Macaca fascicularis: one gene and its partners. The protein of the gene in region 1 interacts with the protein of each later gene in a pairwise test. Links are inferred from orthologs where the notes say so. Each region holds a gene or a part of one and is shown in the gene's direction. Other genes may lie near its edges.

Region 1 (4,101 bases):
TGGCTTTAGGTGGTGGATTCTTATGCCACCAGGGGGCAGTGCCTCCACATGCACCTGGACCCTGTGCTCCTGTGCCCAAGAAGCCCCACCAGGGTCAGTTGATAACTAGACAGAAATCTGGCCTCCATAGCCTGAGGCCCTGTGGCAAGCCAGTGCCTACACTACTGTAGCTTTGCTGACTTCTGAGTGCTCCTCACAATCCAGCCACCCTGTAGGGAGGCTTGTCCATGGTGGAGACTGACACCAAAAGAAGGGAGAAACTTGCTCGAGGTAAAATCTTGAGGTCATAGTGAGATAAGATTGTCAGATAGAATACAGGATATGCAGCTAAATTTCAATGTTAGATCAACCCATGAATCCTTTTTTTAGTGTAAATATGTCCCAAAGGTTAGTGTACAAGAGAGAATACTTACACTACAAATGTAGTATAAGTACAGATGTGTTGTTTATCTGAAATTTAAATGTACTTCGTATCTGTATTTTCATTTGCTCAATCTGGCAACCTTGGCTGGGCTTCCCAGGCTCCTGAATCCCACTAAGCTGAGCACACTCAGTAGTTTCTCTGCTCCCAAGGTGGCCCTCCAGAAAGCTCAAATTTCATCGCAGCTGCTCCACTAGATCTGGGAAGGGCTTCTTTGGGGCCCCCAGGAATGCAGGCAGGGCCTATATCAGCTCTGCTTCCCAAGAGCTCGGCCCCAGCGCTGGACAGGTGAGGTGGGGGCAGGGGACAGGCAGCCTCAGACCATGCTGCCCTATCTCAGCTAGTTCTGACCCCTTCCTTTGCACTCCCTCTCCTTCCTTCCTTCCTTCCTTCCTTCCTTCCTTCCTTCCTTCCTTCCTTCCTTCCTTCCTTCCTTCCTCTTTTCCTCCTTCCTTCTTTCCTTCCTTCCTTCCTCCCTTCCTCTTTTCCTTCCTTCCTTCCTTCCTTCCTTCCTTCCTTCCTTCCTTCCTTCCTTCCTTCCTCCCTTCCTCTTTTCCTCCTTCCTTCCTCCTCTTTATCCCACCTGACCCAAGGGCTCTGGGGGAAGAAGAGGCTATTTCTAAAAGGAACGTTTTATAAACCTGTCCTGATTCCTTTCACAAATAGCCTCCTATTCCCCCAGGGGCTCTGGGGTTGTTTCCTAGAATGAAGGGTTCACCACAGGTCGTGTAGCAATCAGTGTTTTCCAGAGAAACATAACTGATAGGATGTATATATGTATGTATGTATATATGTATATATCTGCATATGCACAAGTATATATACATTTATTTTAATAAATTGACTTATGCAATTGTGGGGCTGACAAGTCTGAAATGTGCAGGGCAGCCTGGCAGGCTGGCAACTCAAAGAAGAGTTGACACTGCAGTCCTGGGGTAGAATTACCTCTACTTTGGGAAACCTCAGTCTTTGCTCTTCAGGCCTCTCAGTTGATTGTGTGAGACCAACCCACATCATCGAGGATGTGTCTCTACTTTACTTCAAGTCCACTGGTTGTAGATGCCAACCACAGCTACAAAATGCCTCCACAGCAACACCTAGACTAGTGTTTGAAGGAGTCACTGGGGACTAGAACCTGGCCAGGTGACACATAAACCTGACCATCACAGTGGTCTAATCAGTAGGGAAACTGAGGGAGAATTGGGACTTAGAAGGTGCAAGGCCTGAGGCCCCTGGGAGTTCTAGTGGCTGCAGTCAGGTCCCACCTCTCTTACCCTTCTCTCCCTTTGTTCTCATGGCTCCTGCCTAGTCTGACCTACTTCAGAAAAAGGCTACCTCCCATGTCTGGGGACTCTGGATGGGGGAGGTAGGATATGCTCTCCAGAGAATCTCTTCTGAAGGTGTGGTATGGCCTGGATTGCTAGGACCTAACTCTGCTGTAGCCACTGCCTGGCTCTTGGACCCTGTGCCAATCCCTGTTTCTTCATAGAAATGATGGAGGGTAGACCCTACCCTTCCCCCCATGGGCTAAATATGGAGATTCATGAGCCAGAGCAGTTCTCACAGTCAAAGGCATGGAATTGTATCTCTTCTCCTAAGTTGCTTACAGAGTAGCAAGGAGAAGGCCACGGACCTAGCCAACAAGATACAATAGAAACAGAAAGTGCTGAGTCCAAGGCCTCAGCCTAGAGAGGGAGTCTTGCTCCACCCCCAGGTCTGACTATATCTTCCTTGAGCTCCTGTTCCAGGAAGAGGTGATTTTCTGAGTGTGACTCCTCTGTTCCTGGCACCCTGTACATCCTTAGCCATAGCTTACAAGTGAACAGCTGGTTGTGATGGCAGGAGGCCCTCCCAACACCAAGGCAGAGATGGAAATGTCCCTGACAGAAGAATTGAATCATGGACGCCAAGGGCAAAACCAAGAGCACCTGGTGATAGCGGGTGAGGATCCCCTAAAATACCCCTAGGCTACAGCCAACTGTGTAGATACATGTCTGTACCTGTGCATGTGTGTGTTGGGAAAGGTGCATGTGTGCATGGAAGTGTTTGCACATCTGTGTGTTGGGCGGGCTTTGAGGATTTGTGGGTTGATGGTAAGGGATCTAGGAGAAAAGGGATAGATGATGTGAGCATTTTGCCCTGGGAGGGAGGAGGATGGGAACAACATGTGTGGTCCCTCTGTCTTCCCCTTGTCCAAGCCACCACAGTGTCTGTTGCAAAATACTCAGAGGGCTCAAATTATGAGACCAGAGATCAATTCTCTCTCCCAACCCTCGAATTCATTTTCCTGCCATTTGGAGGAAAATCCAGACTCCATGATCTATAAGATTGTATCAGCCTCCTCAAAACATTTCATACTATGATATAGACAGAAAATACCATTTCTATAGCACACAAAGGGATCCAGATCACATTGCATTTATGTTTGTTCTTACAATGCTCCAAGCCTGCTTCTTCCCCAAAGACCTTGCATTTGCTGTTTCCTCTGTCTGGAATGCTCTTTCCCTCAATTTCCCAGGGCTGGGTCCTTTATTTTTTTCAGGTCCCTGCCTCAATTGTTGTCTCCTACTTTTCTAGAAGGAGCCCTTTCCTTCCACTATGTTACCCTGTTTTGATCATTTATGGAGCCTGCATCTCTCTGTCTGCATTTGCAAGGATAGACCTTCTGTTTTACACCTGTCATTCACTCTTATACACAAAACAGATGGTCAGTTCCTTGATAGCTGGAATCTTGTTCTTGGTCATTGCTCTCTAGATTACTGGAGAGTAACCTAGTCTCGAGCTGAGCCCTCAGGATTCTTGTTTAACTTTTGAACAGATGAACAAACTGAGACCTGGGATCAGCTGGTGGACAGTGGTTAATGGGTGCTGAGTGATTCCCAAGAAAGCTGGGGACTCTGTCTTCTTTTTGGTGTGTTTTGTGCCCAAGAAGCCCTGGTACAACTTCTATGGGTGCTCCTGGGGTCTCTGTTCTTCTCTCTAGAAATGATGGAGCATGGATCTCGGTCCCTGGGTGCCTCCCAGAAGAGGCAGAAGTTGGAACAAAAAGCTGCTGGCTCTGCTTCAGCGAAACGAGTTTGGAATATGACTGCCACCCGATCCAAGAAAATGGTACTGCATGGGGTCCTCAGCACATGTTGGCCAGGTTGGGGTTGGGAGTACTGGTTGTAGGGGCTGTAGCCTGACCAGGTCAGGCAGGGCTAGACATTGACTTGTGAGGAGGAGGAAGCTCCTGTATTCCAAGCTGGCAAATGAGGACAGAAAGGTCAGGGTCATCCTTTCCTATGCTTGGGATGCAACCTTGGGAGTTCAGAATGCCTGAAACAAATATTGCATGGGGAGTACATAAATATTTCACTCTGTAAATCCATTGTGTGAAATAACGCTTCCTGTATTTAAAATTGTGTGTGTGGTGCGTGTGTGTGTATACACACAATAACTCAGGTGAGGCTCCTACGCTTTCTGGCTGTTAAGAAATCCAGTCAAGTCGTCTGGCATGGTGGCTCATGCCTGTAATCTGAGCACTCTGGCAGGAAGAGGTGGACGGATCACTTGAGGCCAGGAGTTGGAGAACAGTCTGGCCAGCATGGTGAAACCTTGTCTCTACTAAAAATACAAAAATTAGCTGGGCATGGTGGCACATGCCTGTAATCACAGCTACTCAGGAGGCTGAGGCATGA
Region 2 (3,517 bases), on another chromosome or scaffold:
CCACCCATGACCCTGGGGAATGAGTGGTAGGATCAGAGAGAAAACAAGAATCCTGCAGAGAATTCCAGACTGAGCCAGGATAGCGAAGTCCCAGTATAGGGGCAGAGACTCTGCTACCTGTTGAGTCTGTTTGGCCTATAAATAAACCCCGAGGGGTTACAGCTAGCAAACGCCTGCTGGTTGGTGAAGCTGAGATACCCTCCTCCCAGGGTGGTGGGTAATGAGGTCGTGGGAGGAAGAGAAGCAGCAGCAGCTGTGAGGGGGAGTCCCTCTTCCTTCATCAGTCCCTGGTCTGACTCCAGTGATCAGAGGAGGCAGGACACAGAATTTCCAACGCTCAGGATCCAGCTAATCCAAGTCCAGCCCAACTCAGCAAAGTGACCAGAGGGTTCTAGTAGGATAAACTGCAGAAGGTAGGTGGGGAAGAGTAGGAAAGAGAAAGGGACAGAGAAGGAAAAGGGGATTTGGGTCTGAGTGCTATGTGAATACCAGGTAAAGCCATGCAGAGGGACATCCTGTGGCCCCTACACCAAGCCTGGCTCCCTGGAAACTTCTGATTACTATTTTTGTTTTGTTTCTTTTCTGTTTGCAGCAGCCTTATTAAGGTCTAATTCATGTGCTTGTGGGTTTGGATGGCACAATCTGTGTCTTGGCAAAGGAAAGCAGACTTGGCACCAGAATTAGCCCTGACAAGAAGGTGATCCTAAAGAAATGGAACCCTCATCTCCAAGAGTATTGGAGCCAGATGCTCTGAAATGGGTTTAGGCCAGCACTAGGCATGTGGCAGATGCTCAGTCAATACTGATTGAACTTGATCTGCACCTGAGAGACACGGCCGAGTCCTGAGCTTGGAGTGGGGGGCCCATGGACCATTGTCAGCACAGCAGGTTGGAGGAATTAGGGTAGGGTTTCCTCCTAAACCATGCCAGGTCCAGACTCATAAGTTAGTTGCTAAAAGTCAAGAAGAGAGCAGCGGGTGCTGGTCACAGGACTGGTCACCACCTGAGTGGGGTGTGGTTAGCCCTCCAGATCTTGAGAAGTGTCACTCAACTATGTTAGTAACAGCTTGGACCAAGACAGCAGTAAAGATACTGACTTTCTTTTTCAGCTGGGGGATAAGAGGGCAGAGGGGCTCACTAGGCTGTTTCTCTAGAAGTCTGGAAAATGAACACACACCTGCCATCCAAGAGGCTATAAGCTCATTATTATTTTAATCAATTATTTATCATGTTCCCCTGACTTAGAGGCATGGTAAGATGTTCAGTCAAGGAGTAAGTGGCAGCCATAGAGACCGTTTTACTTTACAAAGGGGAAACATCAGCTAGAGAAGAGCAGGAAATCGCTGTTACAAGGTTGTATTAATTCATTAGAGACTGAGCCCAAGAGTCCTGACTCCCAGTTTGATACCACCATGTCCTCAGTTTTCAACCCACATGGATGGAACTCTGTGCTATTTCTGCCCCCTGGTCTAGGGAGATAGTCATTTTTCTGCCCATCTTCTGACCCCTCCCCTTCTCCTCCCTCTTGGCATTTGGCAGATCCAGGCATCTATTCCAGGAACAGGAAGCCAAGCGCAACAGGTGCTTGGAGGTCATCATGATCAGCCCAGACCCCAGGCCCTCCCCTGGCTTGGCCCGGTGGGCTGAGAGCTATGAGGCCAAGTGTGAGCGCAGGCAAGAGACCCGTGAAAGCCGCCGCTGCCGTCCCAATGTGACCACTTGCCGCCAGGTGGGGAAGACGCTGAGGATCCAGCAGAGAGAGCAGCTCCAGAGAGCTCGACTGCAGCAGTTCTTCAGGAGGAGGAACCTGGAGCTAGAGGAGAAAGGCAAGGCGCACCGTCCCCAGGCCAGGGAGCAAGGGCCCTCCAGGCGGCCAGGCCAGGTGACTGTCCTCAAGGAACCTTTGTCTTGTGCCAGCAGGATCTCTTCTCCCAGAGAGCAGGTGGGCCATGTCAAGGGACATACTGCTCTGTGCTCCGGGACCCTCTCTGGACAAGGAGGGTGGGTGGGCTCAAGGTCGCTAAAAGTGATCTAAATTAAGTCCTTCTTCCTCAGTCATATAGTAAAGTTGCTAAGAGCTTCTTATAGTAAAGTTGCCAACAGCTACTTATTCAGAGATTTTTGCTGTTGTGTTTTTGTTTGTTTAGCTCTTTTTGTTCTGCACTTGACTTGTAAGAGAGAGAAAAATAATTTTTAAAAACAATTCCAGGCTGGGCATGTTGGCTCATACCTGTAATCCCAGCACTTTGGAAGGCCAAGACAGGAGGATCACTTGAGGCCAGGAGTTCGAGACCAGTTTTTTGATAGAGACAAGTCCCTGTCTCTATCAAAAACTTTACAAACTAGCCAGGCATGGTGGTGCACACCTGTAGTCCTAACTAATCAGGAGGCAAAGATGGGAGGATTACTTGAACACAGGAGTTTAAAGCGGCAATAAGCTATGATCACACCATTGTACTCCAGCCTGGGCAACAAAGGGAGACCCTATCTCTAAAAAACTTAAAATAAAACAAATAAAAATAATTCCAAAGCTAACACCTATATCAGTTCAAACTTAGGCAATATACACATATCTTCTACAGCTATCTTATAGCATTCATTCATCCATCAGTCACCAAATATTTACTGAAAGTTTATTATATGCCAAGTACACAGGCCAATCCTTTTGACACACACACAGACATATCTGTCCTCTCTTCTTCTGCAAGGCTGTTGTGCCCACTCTTCTCTCTTTCTCTGGTGTTATTCCAATTCTATTAAATCACTCGGCTACAGCCTCATCTGGTCCAGGAAGCCTTCCCTGGCTTCTCCAGGCCACCGCTGCTGTCTACGGGCCTTGTGAGGTTAAAATCTTCCAAGATTGTGTAACCCTTAGAGGGCCCATTAGTCTGGCCTGGAAAGGAACAGTGTTGGCAAAAACCAGGGTATGCTGAGATGACGTTGGCCAGCAAACCATCTGTGTCTTCCTACTGAGGTTGTGAGCATGTTGACAGCAGGGATGTGTCCACTATGTTCCGTGGAAATGCTTGGCATTGTGTCCTACCCAGAGTGGGTACTCCATTAGGGCTTCTTAACTAGTGGATCTGTTATGCTCAATAGGAGATACTGTTCAGAGCAATGATCCCAGAGCCCAGTTGCAAAAGAAAACAAACTGTTTACTAAAGCAAAAAACCTCCCCACAACTCCCCACTTTACCTAGTCTTCACACAAAACCTCAATGATTTTCTAGCTGTTACTAAGAGAAAGGAAGTTTTCCTTCGAATATGGAAGGAATCTTATAGATTATCTATTCCAAACTCCTCACTACACAGACAGAAGACTGAGACCTAGAAAAGATGGGATCTGAACCCAGATCCCCTTAGTGGCCACTCAGACCAGTTCTCTTTCCATATCACCATGCTGGCTATCTAAGTGGCCAAAACCAAACAAGGTAGAGAGAGAGAGGGGGAAAAAACAACAACCACAACTAGAGATTCTAGAGAGAAAAACTGGAGAAAAGTACAGCTCCACATATGCCT
Region 3 (2,801 bases), on another chromosome or scaffold:
GAGTAGTTGGGATTACAGGCGCCCACCACCATGTCTGGCTTGTATTTTTAATAGAAACGGGGTTTCACCATGTTGGCCAGGCTGGCCTCGAACTCCTGACCTCAGGTGATCCGCCTGCCTCAGCCTCCCAAAGTGCTAGGATTACAACTGTGAGTCACAGTGCCCAACCCCACTTCCTTTTTGTTTCCTTATTCTTAAATACCTTATAAGGTTTTTGCTGCTACCCATGAGGAACAAACTTCCTCTTGCTCTAGTCTATACCTGAATATTCACTCTCCTTTATATTTCTAAACCCAAAAAAAGGATATGTAACCCAACAAAGGATTTTTTTCAAATATTCTGAATTTATTTGCTAACACTTTGAGAATATTTAATCATACCTAATTATAACTTTAGAGTGATCATTATATTGAAATTTTTAATGATATAAAAATAGAATTTCCTAGCCGGATGTGGTGGTACCCATGTGTAGTTCCAGCTACTCAGGAGGGTGAGGTGGGAAGATTGCTTGAGCCTGGGAGTACAAAGCCAACCTGGGAAACATAGCAAGACCGTCTTTTTTTTTTCTTTAAAGGAATTTCCTGGCTGGGCACAGTGGTTCAGGCCTATAATCCCAGCACTTCGAGGGGCCAAGGCAGGCAGATCACCTGAGGTCAGGAATTCAAGACCAACCTGGCTAACGTGGTGAAACCCCGTTTTTACTAAAAATACGAAAAATTAGCTAGGTGTGGTGGCACGCGCCTGTAATCCTATTTATTCGGGAAGTTGAGGCAGAAGAATCTCTTGAACTTGGGAGGTGGAGGTTGCAGTGAGCCAAGATTGTGCCAAGACCAAAACTCCGTCATAGATAGATAGATAGATAATTTCCTAGGAAATCATTATAGGTAAAACAATCTGGGCTACCATTATGGAATTGGGGCTTATGAAATATCATACACCAGACCATTTCATTTTAGGGCAACTCAAAAGGATCACCTTCCACATGCAAGATAGGAAGGTGTTAAGTTCTACCTGGAGACACAGAAGAATATCAAATTCGATGACATTATTGACCATTAGGAAGAGGCTAGCTTCCTGCCCTTTAATATTACATCTTAGTTAGATAAATTAACCAAGTAGAAATCTGGACTATATCCATAGCTCAAATTTGGTCCTCTCTACACACTTTTATAAAACATTTTTGGCCAGGCGTGGTGGCTCACGCCTGTAATCCCAGCACTTTGGGAGGCCAAGGCGGGCATATCACCTGAGGTCAGGAGTTCGAGACCAACCTGGCCAAGATGGTAAAACCTCATCTCTACTAAAAATACAAAAATTAGCCGGGCATGGTGGCATGCCCTTGCAATCCCAGCTACTCGGGAGGCTAAGGCAGAAGAATCGCTTGAATCCAGGAGCTGGAGGTTGCAGTGAGCCAAGATCACACCACTGCACTCCAGCCTGGGCAACAGAGCAAGACTCTGTTTCAGAAACAACAGCAACAAAAAGAGGTAAATTTAAGGCCAAGATTGATGTGGAAATGAAAAGGATTTTGGAGAGAGGGAAAAGGTAGAAATTCACAAATGCCAATTTTGTATTTCTTGCCTTCTGGGATCTACACCAATTTAGAAATAGCCCCAAGACTAGGATAGAGTAAGGAAAAGATTATATTAGCTTCATTACCCCCATAGATAGGGTACCCTAGAGTTCCTGGATTGGGAAAAATGCCTGGGATCTGTAACCAAAACTGGAACTCCTACTACAGTCCCTCAATTCTAGACCTTGAAAGTGCACTTAAGGAGGATTAGGTCTGTAGGGTAAACACTTAGCCAGCCAGAGACATCACACCCTATCTTACACACCACTAAGTAAGGAGAAAGAGCCAAAGAGAAATGAGCTTTCAGGCCATCTCTTGAAGGCCAGTCCTACCTCTTGGCTGGCTATGCTTAATCTCCTAGAAGGAAGATCAGGAAAACAATTGTTTTGCTGGAAGACAAATAGAACTTAGAATTATATCCCAGTTCCATAGCCCAGTCTAACCAAATCAAATAAAGGAATAGAAGCAACAATCAGGGGTCCCCACCCCTCTATTGTAATGTAATCAGTCTGGGTCAGCCATTTTAAAAGCTTTTTTATTCCTGTGTGGTATGAAATGGCTTGAGAACTTCGTTTTTCCCTTGAATGAGACATTTCTTATAAATAAATCAGGACTGATAGCTTTCCAGCTTATTTTTTAAACTTTTTATTTCTGTGTATTCTTTTGAAATGCTTACATTTTCTATTAAAAAAAAATAGAGCTTAACATGCAACCCCTCATTTGAAAAAGAAGTAATTCTAACATATGCTATCTGTTTCACAGGTTGTAGGTCATAAAGAAGGTCTGGATGTTATGGAGAGAGCTGATCCTTTATTCCTTTTAATTGGACTTCCTACTATTCCTGTCATGCTGATATTAGGCAAGATGATTCGCTGGGAGGACTATGTGCTTAGACTGTGGCGCAAATACTCGAATAAACTTCAAATTTTAAATAGTATATTTCCAGGTAAGGCCCTGAACTGTGGTTGTAAAGTGCATACCAAATTGATCTTATAGAAGAACCATAACATGCTTTTTTAGCCATGTTTGAAGATATTCTAACTCTTCTGATTTATTAGCACTAATGCACTACATTTTTTTCTCTAGGGATTGGTTGTCCTGTTCCTCGAATTCCAGCAGAGGCTAATCCTTTAGCAGATCATGTCTCTGCTACTCGAATCTTGTGTGGAGCCCTTGTCTTTCCTACTATTGCGACAATAGTTGGTAAATTGATGTTCAGTAGTGTTAA
Region 4 (3,517 bases), on another chromosome or scaffold:
CGGAGCGGGATGGAGTGAAGAAGAGAAGTCAGGAACTGGCCATGGAGAAGGACACTTTGAAGGTGCCACTCCTTCCTAGTGCCTGACAACTTTCCACCACCCTGGGGCCATTTTTCCCATTTCCGGTTTTAGTGACTGCAGCCTGATGAGAGCAGGGTCTTCCATCAAACTGTCAGACTCCCAGGACCACCCAGGCATCCCTAAAATCCCTGAAGTCCCGGAACATCTCAGGAGGTTGAATCGGCGGGGTGCGGGAGAGCAGGGCAGGCCAGACGGAGGGCAGGACCGAGGGGAGTCCTGGGAGGTTGGATGGATGGACCGGCTCCTTTCTTGGCAGCGGCAGCTCTTTGAGTGTGAACACCTCATTTGCCAACGAGACACCATCCTCTCTGAGGTGAGGAGCCCGGGGAGGGAAAGAGATTTGCCTTCCGTGTGCGCCAGCCACTTCCTGCCCCTGGTCTAGAAAGGGAAGTCCTACTTGGGTCTGGTCCTTGGATGTGCAGGCGGAGAGATTGGAGGGATTCCCCAGGTCCCAATGTGACCCCTCAGGGATCTAGAAGCCCTTCTGCCCGGTGCTCTCCCTTGGGCCCCAGCTCTTCTCTCAAGCTCACCCTTGTCCCTTAACCCCCCCAGCCAGTCCCCCCACCACCACCCCCCACTATGTCTTTGGGGAACTGGTCCCAGTCTCATTTGGCTTTCGGCTTTCCCAGCGCACTCGCCATGTGGAGAGCCTGGCCCAGACCTTGCAAGAATACAGAGTGACGACGCAGGTAACTCAGCGGCCCTGGCCACTTCTCTTTTGCCATCTCTGGGACTTGCTGCCTCTCCTCCTCATCGCTCTTTCTCTGTCGGTGGCCACATCTTGCTTCTTCTATCCATAATGTATGACTGTATGACTTACTGTGTGTCTCACCCTCTGTTTCTCTATCTGCCTTTTCACTTTTTTTCTGTTCCTTCCATTCACTTTCATTCTCTGTGGGTGTCTTCTCACATACCCCTCCTTATCTTTTTTTTTTTTTTTTTTTTTTGAGACAGAGTCTCGCTCTGTCACCAGGCTGGAGTGCAGTGACGCAATCTCGGCTCACTGCAACCTCTGCCTCCCAGGTTCAAGCGATTCTCCTGTCTCAGCCTCCCAGATAGCTGGGACTACAGGCGCACGCCATCATGCCCAGCTGATTTTTGTATTTTTAGTAGAGACGGGGTTTCACCATGTTGGCCAGGATGGTCTCGATCTCTTGGCCTCATGATCCGCCCACCTCGGCCTCCCAAAGTGCTGGGATTACAGGCGTGAGCCACCGCGCCCAGCCTCCCCTCCTCATCTTTATGTGTCTCTGCCAGGCTCGTGTGGGTTCCTGTCTCTGCCTCTAGGTCTAGGCTGTCTGTCTCCCTAGGCAAGTCTTCTCTGTTTGGCTCTGGTCTTTACCAGTCTCTTAGCCCTGGTGTTTCCCTTGCCTGTCTGTGAGTCTGTTTCCATTTATGTCTTTCATTTTTTCATGCATCACTGCCTCTGCCTTCCTTCTCTTAATTTTCTTGGCTGTGCTTTTTGTTTTGTTTTGTTTTGTTTTGTTTTTCTTTTTTGAGACGGAGTCTGGTTGTGTCGCCCAGGCTGGAGTGCAGTGGCACAATCTTGGCTCACTGCAAGCTCCTCCTCCTGGGTTCAAGCGATTCTTCTGCCTCAGCCTCCCAAGTAGCTGGAACTACAAGTGCGTGCCACCATGCCTGGCTAATTTTTTGTATTTTTAGTAGAGACGGGGTTTCACCCTGTCAGCCAGGATGGTCTCGATCTCCTGACCTCGTGATCTGCCCTCCTGAAGTGCTGGGATTACCGGCATGAGCCACAGCTCCCGGCCTCTTGGCCTGTGCTTTAGCTTCTGGATTCCTGTTGCTCTCTGTCTCTCTTTGGCTTCCTAACATTCTGTCATGGCTTTCTGCCCTTTGTCCCCAGGCAGTGTGTGTCTGGGGAGGCCAAAGTAGTCAGGAAAGTGGAAAGAACCCTGGAAGAGGAGCCCAGGGATGGGAAAAATGGAGAGCCAGATGTGCCCCCCACTTCCTCCTTTGCAGGAACTGAGGCTGGAGATTTCACGCCTGGAGGAGCAGCTGAGTCAGACCTATGAGGGGCCCGATGAGTGAGTGGAACTTCATAGGGTAGGAGGAGGCAGGAGGGGAGCCTAAGAGCAGAGACACCCTGGTCTCCAGCCCCAAGGTGGGCAGGGAAGGGAGGCCAGCATGAGCCGACTGAGTGGCCCCCAGGCACAAAGGCCGCCTTCCTCCCTCCTCCCTGTGTGGCCAGGCTACCTGAAGGGGCCCAGCTGAGAAGAGTGGGCTGGACCCGGCTGCTGCCCCCATCGCTGGGCTTGGAGATCGAGGCCATTCGACAGGTGGGCCTAACACCCCTGGAATAAGCTGCAGGCCACCAAGGCAGGATCTCCAAACATCTCCCCACTCTGATCCTCACACCAGCCTAGCCCTAACCCACATTGCTGCCAGAGGCTCCCATCACAACCTTAGCTTTTCTCTAACTCTATCTCGGATCCTAACCCCAAACCCACTGCCAGCCCCAGGCCTATGCCAGACCCCAGTCCGATCCAGCTGTGACTCACCCCTATCTCGTCTCCCTCCATGACCATCTCACTCCTTAACTTCATCTCGAACCCAGACCTCGGTCCTGGCAGCAAACCCTCCCCTGTTCCTGCTTCTGCCCACTCCCCACACCAGCCCCACACCAGCTCTTTTCTACCTCTCATCCTATTTTCAGCCACACACCTAAACCCGTTTCTGTCTCTGACCTTGTCTTCTACCTTAACATGGCTCTCCCTGACCTCGGAAACACCTTCTGTCCCAGAAACAGGAAGTGGCAATTGCTGGTCTCTCCAACCCTCTGTGTGGGGTGTGGCAGTGGGAGGAAGTCATCCATGATACCAGTGAGGATGCTGAGTTTCCGTCTGAAGCCCCAGCTGGGGGACAGGTGAGCACAGGAAAAGCTCTGAAGTCCAGGAGCTGGAAAGGGGCCCGGAGCGCCAGGTGCCGCCCTGGCCAGCCATTCACTCACACCTTTGCTTGTTCCCCATTTGATGAGAAAATGTTAATTGAGAGCACACTGTGTGCTGGACACCCAGCCACAAGCCAGACCAGACACCACCCCTGCCCCAGGGACTGACCTGCCAGCGTTGGAGACAAAGGTGAACAAAGCAAACACACAAATTGCACTGTGGCTTTTCGTGTCGTTTTGTTGTTTTAGAAAACACGCTCAGGAATTGCGTGATTTAAAATTGTACTACCGTAGGAAGGGAATAAGCAAGTTGTTTATGCTAACATTTTAAGGATATATTAAGCATTTATGTTTCAAATATAAGTACCTTTAAGAAAAACCAGCAAGCTCACTATGACATCTTTTTTTTTTTTTTCTTTTTCTTTTTTTTGAGGCGGAGTCTCGCTCTGTCGCCCAGGCTGGAGTGCAGTGGCCGGATCTCAGCTCACTGCAAGCTCCGCCTCCCGGGTTCCGGCCATTCTCCTGCCT
Region 5 (3,517 bases), on another chromosome or scaffold:
GCAGAGCATGAAATGAATTATTTAAAAAAGAAGAAGAATAGGGAACCAGAAGGGTTTTGCACCAGGCGCCACCACGCATCAGCCCATCGTATCCCTGTCGTCTGTCTTTCCCATCCCCAGCCTCGTTTCCCTCCCGGAGGGTGAGATGACCCTTTGGAGGACCCTGGCTCCCCCAGCTTCCCCTCTGACACATGTCTGCTAGTGACCTCCACTAGAGATGGAATTCCAAGTCGGGTCCCTGCAGTCCAAGGACTGGGAAACGGCAGACAGCTGCCTCCCCTAGGCCTTGGTAGTGTTTCTGAAAGGATTCACCTGCTCTCTGGTGGGGGTGGGCTGTGAGTAGTCACTGGGGCAGTGGGGCAGTGGAGTGGCATTGCTTGACTCTTGCCCATTTGTGACGGCATGTGCTGATCCCTTGAATGGAGTGTGGTACTGGGCCATTGGGTCGAGTCTAGAGGGAGACGGGGACTGTGACTTTGTCTGCAGCTCAGCATTGCCAAGAAACATGATCCACTGCTCCGGGAGTTCCAGGAGGGCCGCCTGCTCTTCCCACCCACCTACAAGTTTGATAGGAACTCCAACGACTATGACACCAGGTGAGGAGGAAGCGGGGCCAGAAGGTCTAAGAAGTCAGGTTACATTGGCCCTGCTGGCATGGGCACTGTCTCAGAATAGAAGTGTTAGGGGCCGGGAAGCCGTGTAGCCATCTCCTCTCCAGAGTGGCGCCTCCTGTCCACTTCATGAGGCACTGACTGGGGGAGCCGTCCCAGATCTCAGCGAGAGTGGGAGGGAACGCCAGTGCCGGCAAAGGCAGGAGAGGTGTGTGGGGGGTGGGGGTGTTACAGGTAGAACTAGAGGAGAGGGTGGAGCAGCCGCCTCCTGACCTAGGAGGGACTGCACGTCAGCTTCTGGAAACCCCAGACCTTCTGGTCCCCAAACAGGGCAGAAAGCTTGGGCCAACCAGTTACTGGTATTAAGGACCCCTGCCCCAGCCCGTGGGTGGGTCAGGTTCTGTGTGAGAAGGTGAAGTAGTGGGTAGAGAATTTCATCAGGATCAGTGAGATCATGAGTCTGGTGGTTAAAAGCACAGCTCTGTCTGACTTTAGACAAAGTGTTAGGCCTCGTTTTGTCATCTATAAAGTGTGGATGACACAGCAGACACCTCATGAGGCTGAGGATTGAAGAAGGCTGGCACCGAGTAACCATGGGAGAGAACTGCTATTGTGACTTTTAGATTCATGCCGGCTGGGCGTGGTAGCTCACGTCTGTAATCCCAGCACTTTGGGAGGCCAAGGCAGGTGGATCACTTAAGGTCAGGAGTTCCAGACCAGCCTGACCAACATGGTGAAACCCCATCTCTACTAAAACTTCAAAAATTAGCCGGATATGGTAGCGTGCGCCTGTAATCCCAGCTACTCAAGAGGCTGAGGCAGGAGAATCGCTTGAACCCGGGAGGCGGAGGTTGCAGTGAGCCGAGATCTCACCACTGCACTCCAGTCTGGGTGACAGGCAAGACTCTGTCTCAAAAAAATAATTATAAAATAAATAGATTCATGTCTTCCCATCATAGATTTACTAAAAACCTTTCTAAGAAGCTGAGAAGGGGCCAAGTAACCATCAAAACCTGAGAAAGAACTTCTGGCAACATGTCCCTGACCCAGTTTGGGGCAAGGACCCTCATCTCTTTGAAGAAAGGAAGAGCCCCTTACATGTCATGAGGGTCTTACATGTCATGAGGGTCTTTGTCCCAGCGGGAGCGGCTCGTTCATTCTCCGAGCGGGAGTGTGTCTGTGAGGGAGGCGGGAGGTGCCAGCAGGGCAGCCCAGGCCTTTGGGATTTAGCCAGTGCAGGACAAGAGGTAGAACTCAAGCTTGGTTCTGGAAGTGGTACAGCAAAGCCAAAATATCCTTGCCAAGGAAAGGGGGAAAGAGCGAGCTGACTGAGCAGTGTGGAGCAAGATAGGGTAGGGTTGTGAGCAGGGCCGTCCAGACAAGAGGAGGCAGCAGACGCTGGGGACGGGACCCACCCTGGGCAACAGAGCAGGCAGGAAAGGAGGTAAGAGGCCAGGCTGCGACAGGCTGGCCGGCCCAGACCGACAGCTGCAGGGAGACTGCCAGTCTCTGCAGCCATCCATTAGAAACGAGAGTCATGGTGGGAGCTGTAAGTACAGGCTGGGGCCTTGGGTGGGGAGAGGTTGCTTGAAGCCAGGAGTTCAAGACCCACCTGGGCAACATGGTTAGACCCTATCTCTACAAAAATTTAAAAATCAGCTGAGTGGGATATGCCTGTAGTCCCAACTACTCAGGAAACCTGAGGCAGGAGGATCACTTGAGCCCAGGAGTTAAAGGCTGCAGTGAGCTGAGATTTACCCACTGCACTCCAGCTGGGCAACCCTGTCTCAAAAAAAAAAAAAAAATTCCTCTTTAAACACTTGCCAGCAGGAAGAGAGGTGCTGGCAGGCCCTACGGCCAGGTGGCCCCTTCTCCCAGCCCTGTGCCAGAGAGGTCTCCAGGAGACTGAAGTTTGTTGAAAAAGCTGGGTCTGGGCTGGAGTTGACAGGGTCTAAAAGGGTAGTGAGCTTTGGAGAAGTTCAAGGACTTCCCCAGGGAGCTCACCCAGTGAGTGGCAGAGCTGGAGCTCAGACTGATCTCTGAATCTATAGCCCACAGTGCTTTCGTCAAGCCCATTGTGCGTCAGGATTCATGGTCATCCTTGCCAGCAACAGCAAAAAGGATGGCACGATGAGGAAGGCAGACTCCTGCTAAGGAGGAGGCACACACCTATTTCCAAATAACAGCTCACCGTGATTGGCAGACAGGCGTGCACCCAGGCTTTGCCTGTGTCAGTTCTTACCATGTCCTCTTTAGGTAGACAGTGTCACTATTGACTGTTTACACAGAAGGCAACTGAGTCTCAAAGAATATATAAGTAAGGAGCAATAGACTTCATCACTGCATGAGGATTGGAACTCATATCTGTGTCTGTCGACTCATGAGCCTTCAGTACTTCCCTTTGGCTGGAGCCCAGGAAATGCAAGAATGTCCGGGCAAGAACAGGGGACATGGTAACTGAAATACTCCTGGCTGGGGCCAGGGTCCAGAGGCAGCTGGGAGTTCCTGCAGTGAGCAGGGCCTGAGCCCACCTGGGGCAGAGACATTCCTATCTAATGAAACTGTTATTTTATCCTTGAAAACCCAGTTGAGACATCACTTTTCCTAGGACGCCTTCCCCCATCTCACTGAGAGTTCCTTTCCTGCCCTGTGCCGCTCCCAGCCTTGCGCACGCCATGCTCTCAGTGTTGCTTTTAAGCAACACTGTACCTTTTAAGCAACAGTGTACCTTTCTTACTGTACTGTGATGGCCCAGAGAGCAGAGACGATCTGATTTAGGACCATCCCTGGGAGTAGCACAGTACCTGGCATATGTTACCAAGTCTGGGAATTAGTCAGTAGAAGGTTTCCAGAACTGCGTGCAGAAGGTTGGAGCAAATGTTAAGGAGGCGGACAGCTAACGCTAG

Evidence for each region. The genes of interacting proteins can lie anywhere in the genome.
Region 2: the proteins of FATE1 (region 1) and TRAF3IP3 interact in binary tests that used the Homo sapiens proteins (3 or more experiments, as listed by UniProt). The two-hybrid records come from large-scale screens. The link is inferred for Macaca fascicularis from reciprocal best matches to the Homo sapiens genes FATE1 and TRAF3IP3.
Region 3: the proteins of FATE1 (region 1) and MARCHF5 interact in binary tests that used the Homo sapiens proteins (3 or more experiments, as listed by UniProt). The two-hybrid records come from large-scale screens. The link is inferred for Macaca fascicularis from reciprocal best matches to the Homo sapiens genes FATE1 and MARCHF5.
Region 4: the proteins of FATE1 (region 1) and KASH5 interact in binary tests that used the Homo sapiens proteins (3 or more experiments, as listed by UniProt). The two-hybrid records come from large-scale screens. The link is inferred for Macaca fascicularis from reciprocal best matches to the Homo sapiens genes FATE1 and KASH5.
Region 5: the proteins of FATE1 (region 1) and INPP5K interact in binary tests that used the Homo sapiens proteins (3 or more experiments, as listed by UniProt). The link is inferred for Macaca fascicularis from reciprocal best matches to the Homo sapiens genes FATE1 and INPP5K.

The regions. Positions count from the first base shown.
Region 1 is NC_088395.1:157,778,866-157,782,966, forward strand, and holds the start of FATE1 (fetal and adult testis-expressed transcript protein), read left to right. Parts: upstream 1-1,286; 5' UTR 1,287-2,256; coding exon 2,257-2,362; intron 2,363-3,404; coding exon 3,405-3,532; intron 3,533-4,101. UniProt on the Homo sapiens protein: Involved in the regulation of endoplasmic reticulum (ER)-mitochondria coupling. Negatively regulates the ER-mitochondria distance and Ca(2+) transfer from ER to mitochondria possibly implicating it in the regulation of apoptosis.
Region 2 is NC_088375.1:67,583,403-67,586,919, forward strand, and holds part of TRAF3IP3 (TRAF3-interacting JNK-activating modulator), read left to right. Parts: intron 1-282; exon of another isoform or gene 283-413; intron 414-592; exon of another isoform or gene 593-614; coding exon of another isoform or gene 615-697; intron 698-1,538; coding exon 1,539-1,941; intron 1,942-3,517. UniProt on the Homo sapiens protein: Adapter protein that plays essential roles in both innate and adaptive immunity. Plays a crucial role in the regulation of thymocyte development.
Region 3 is NC_088383.1:101,128,781-101,131,581, forward strand, and holds part of MARCHF5 (E3 ubiquitin-protein ligase MARCHF5), read left to right. Parts: intron 1-2,335; coding exon 2,336-2,519; intron 2,520-2,659; coding exon 2,660-2,801. UniProt on the Homo sapiens protein: Mitochondrial E3 ubiquitin-protein ligase that plays a crucial role in the control of mitochondrial morphology by acting as a positive regulator of mitochondrial fission and as an important regulator of immune response.
Region 4 is NC_088393.1:57,356,552-57,360,068, forward strand, and holds part of KASH5 (protein KASH5), read left to right. Parts: coding exon 1-62; intron 63-74; exon of another isoform or gene 75-145; coding exon of another isoform or gene 146-337; coding exon 338-394; intron 395-710; coding exon 711-770; intron 771-2,061; coding exon 2,062-2,126; intron 2,127-2,290; coding exon 2,291-2,378; intron 2,379-2,842; coding exon 2,843-2,965; intron 2,966-3,517. UniProt on the Homo sapiens protein: As a component of the LINC (LInker of Nucleoskeleton and Cytoskeleton) complex, involved in the connection between the nuclear lamina and the cytoskeleton.
Region 5 is NC_088390.1:1,617,823-1,621,339, reverse strand, and holds part of INPP5K (inositol polyphosphate 5-phosphatase K), read left to right. Parts: intron 1-486; coding exon 487-596; intron 597-3,517. UniProt on the Homo sapiens protein: Inositol 5-phosphatase which acts on inositol 1,4,5-trisphosphate, inositol 1,3,4,5-tetrakisphosphate, phosphatidylinositol 4,5-bisphosphate and phosphatidylinositol 3,4,5-trisphosphate.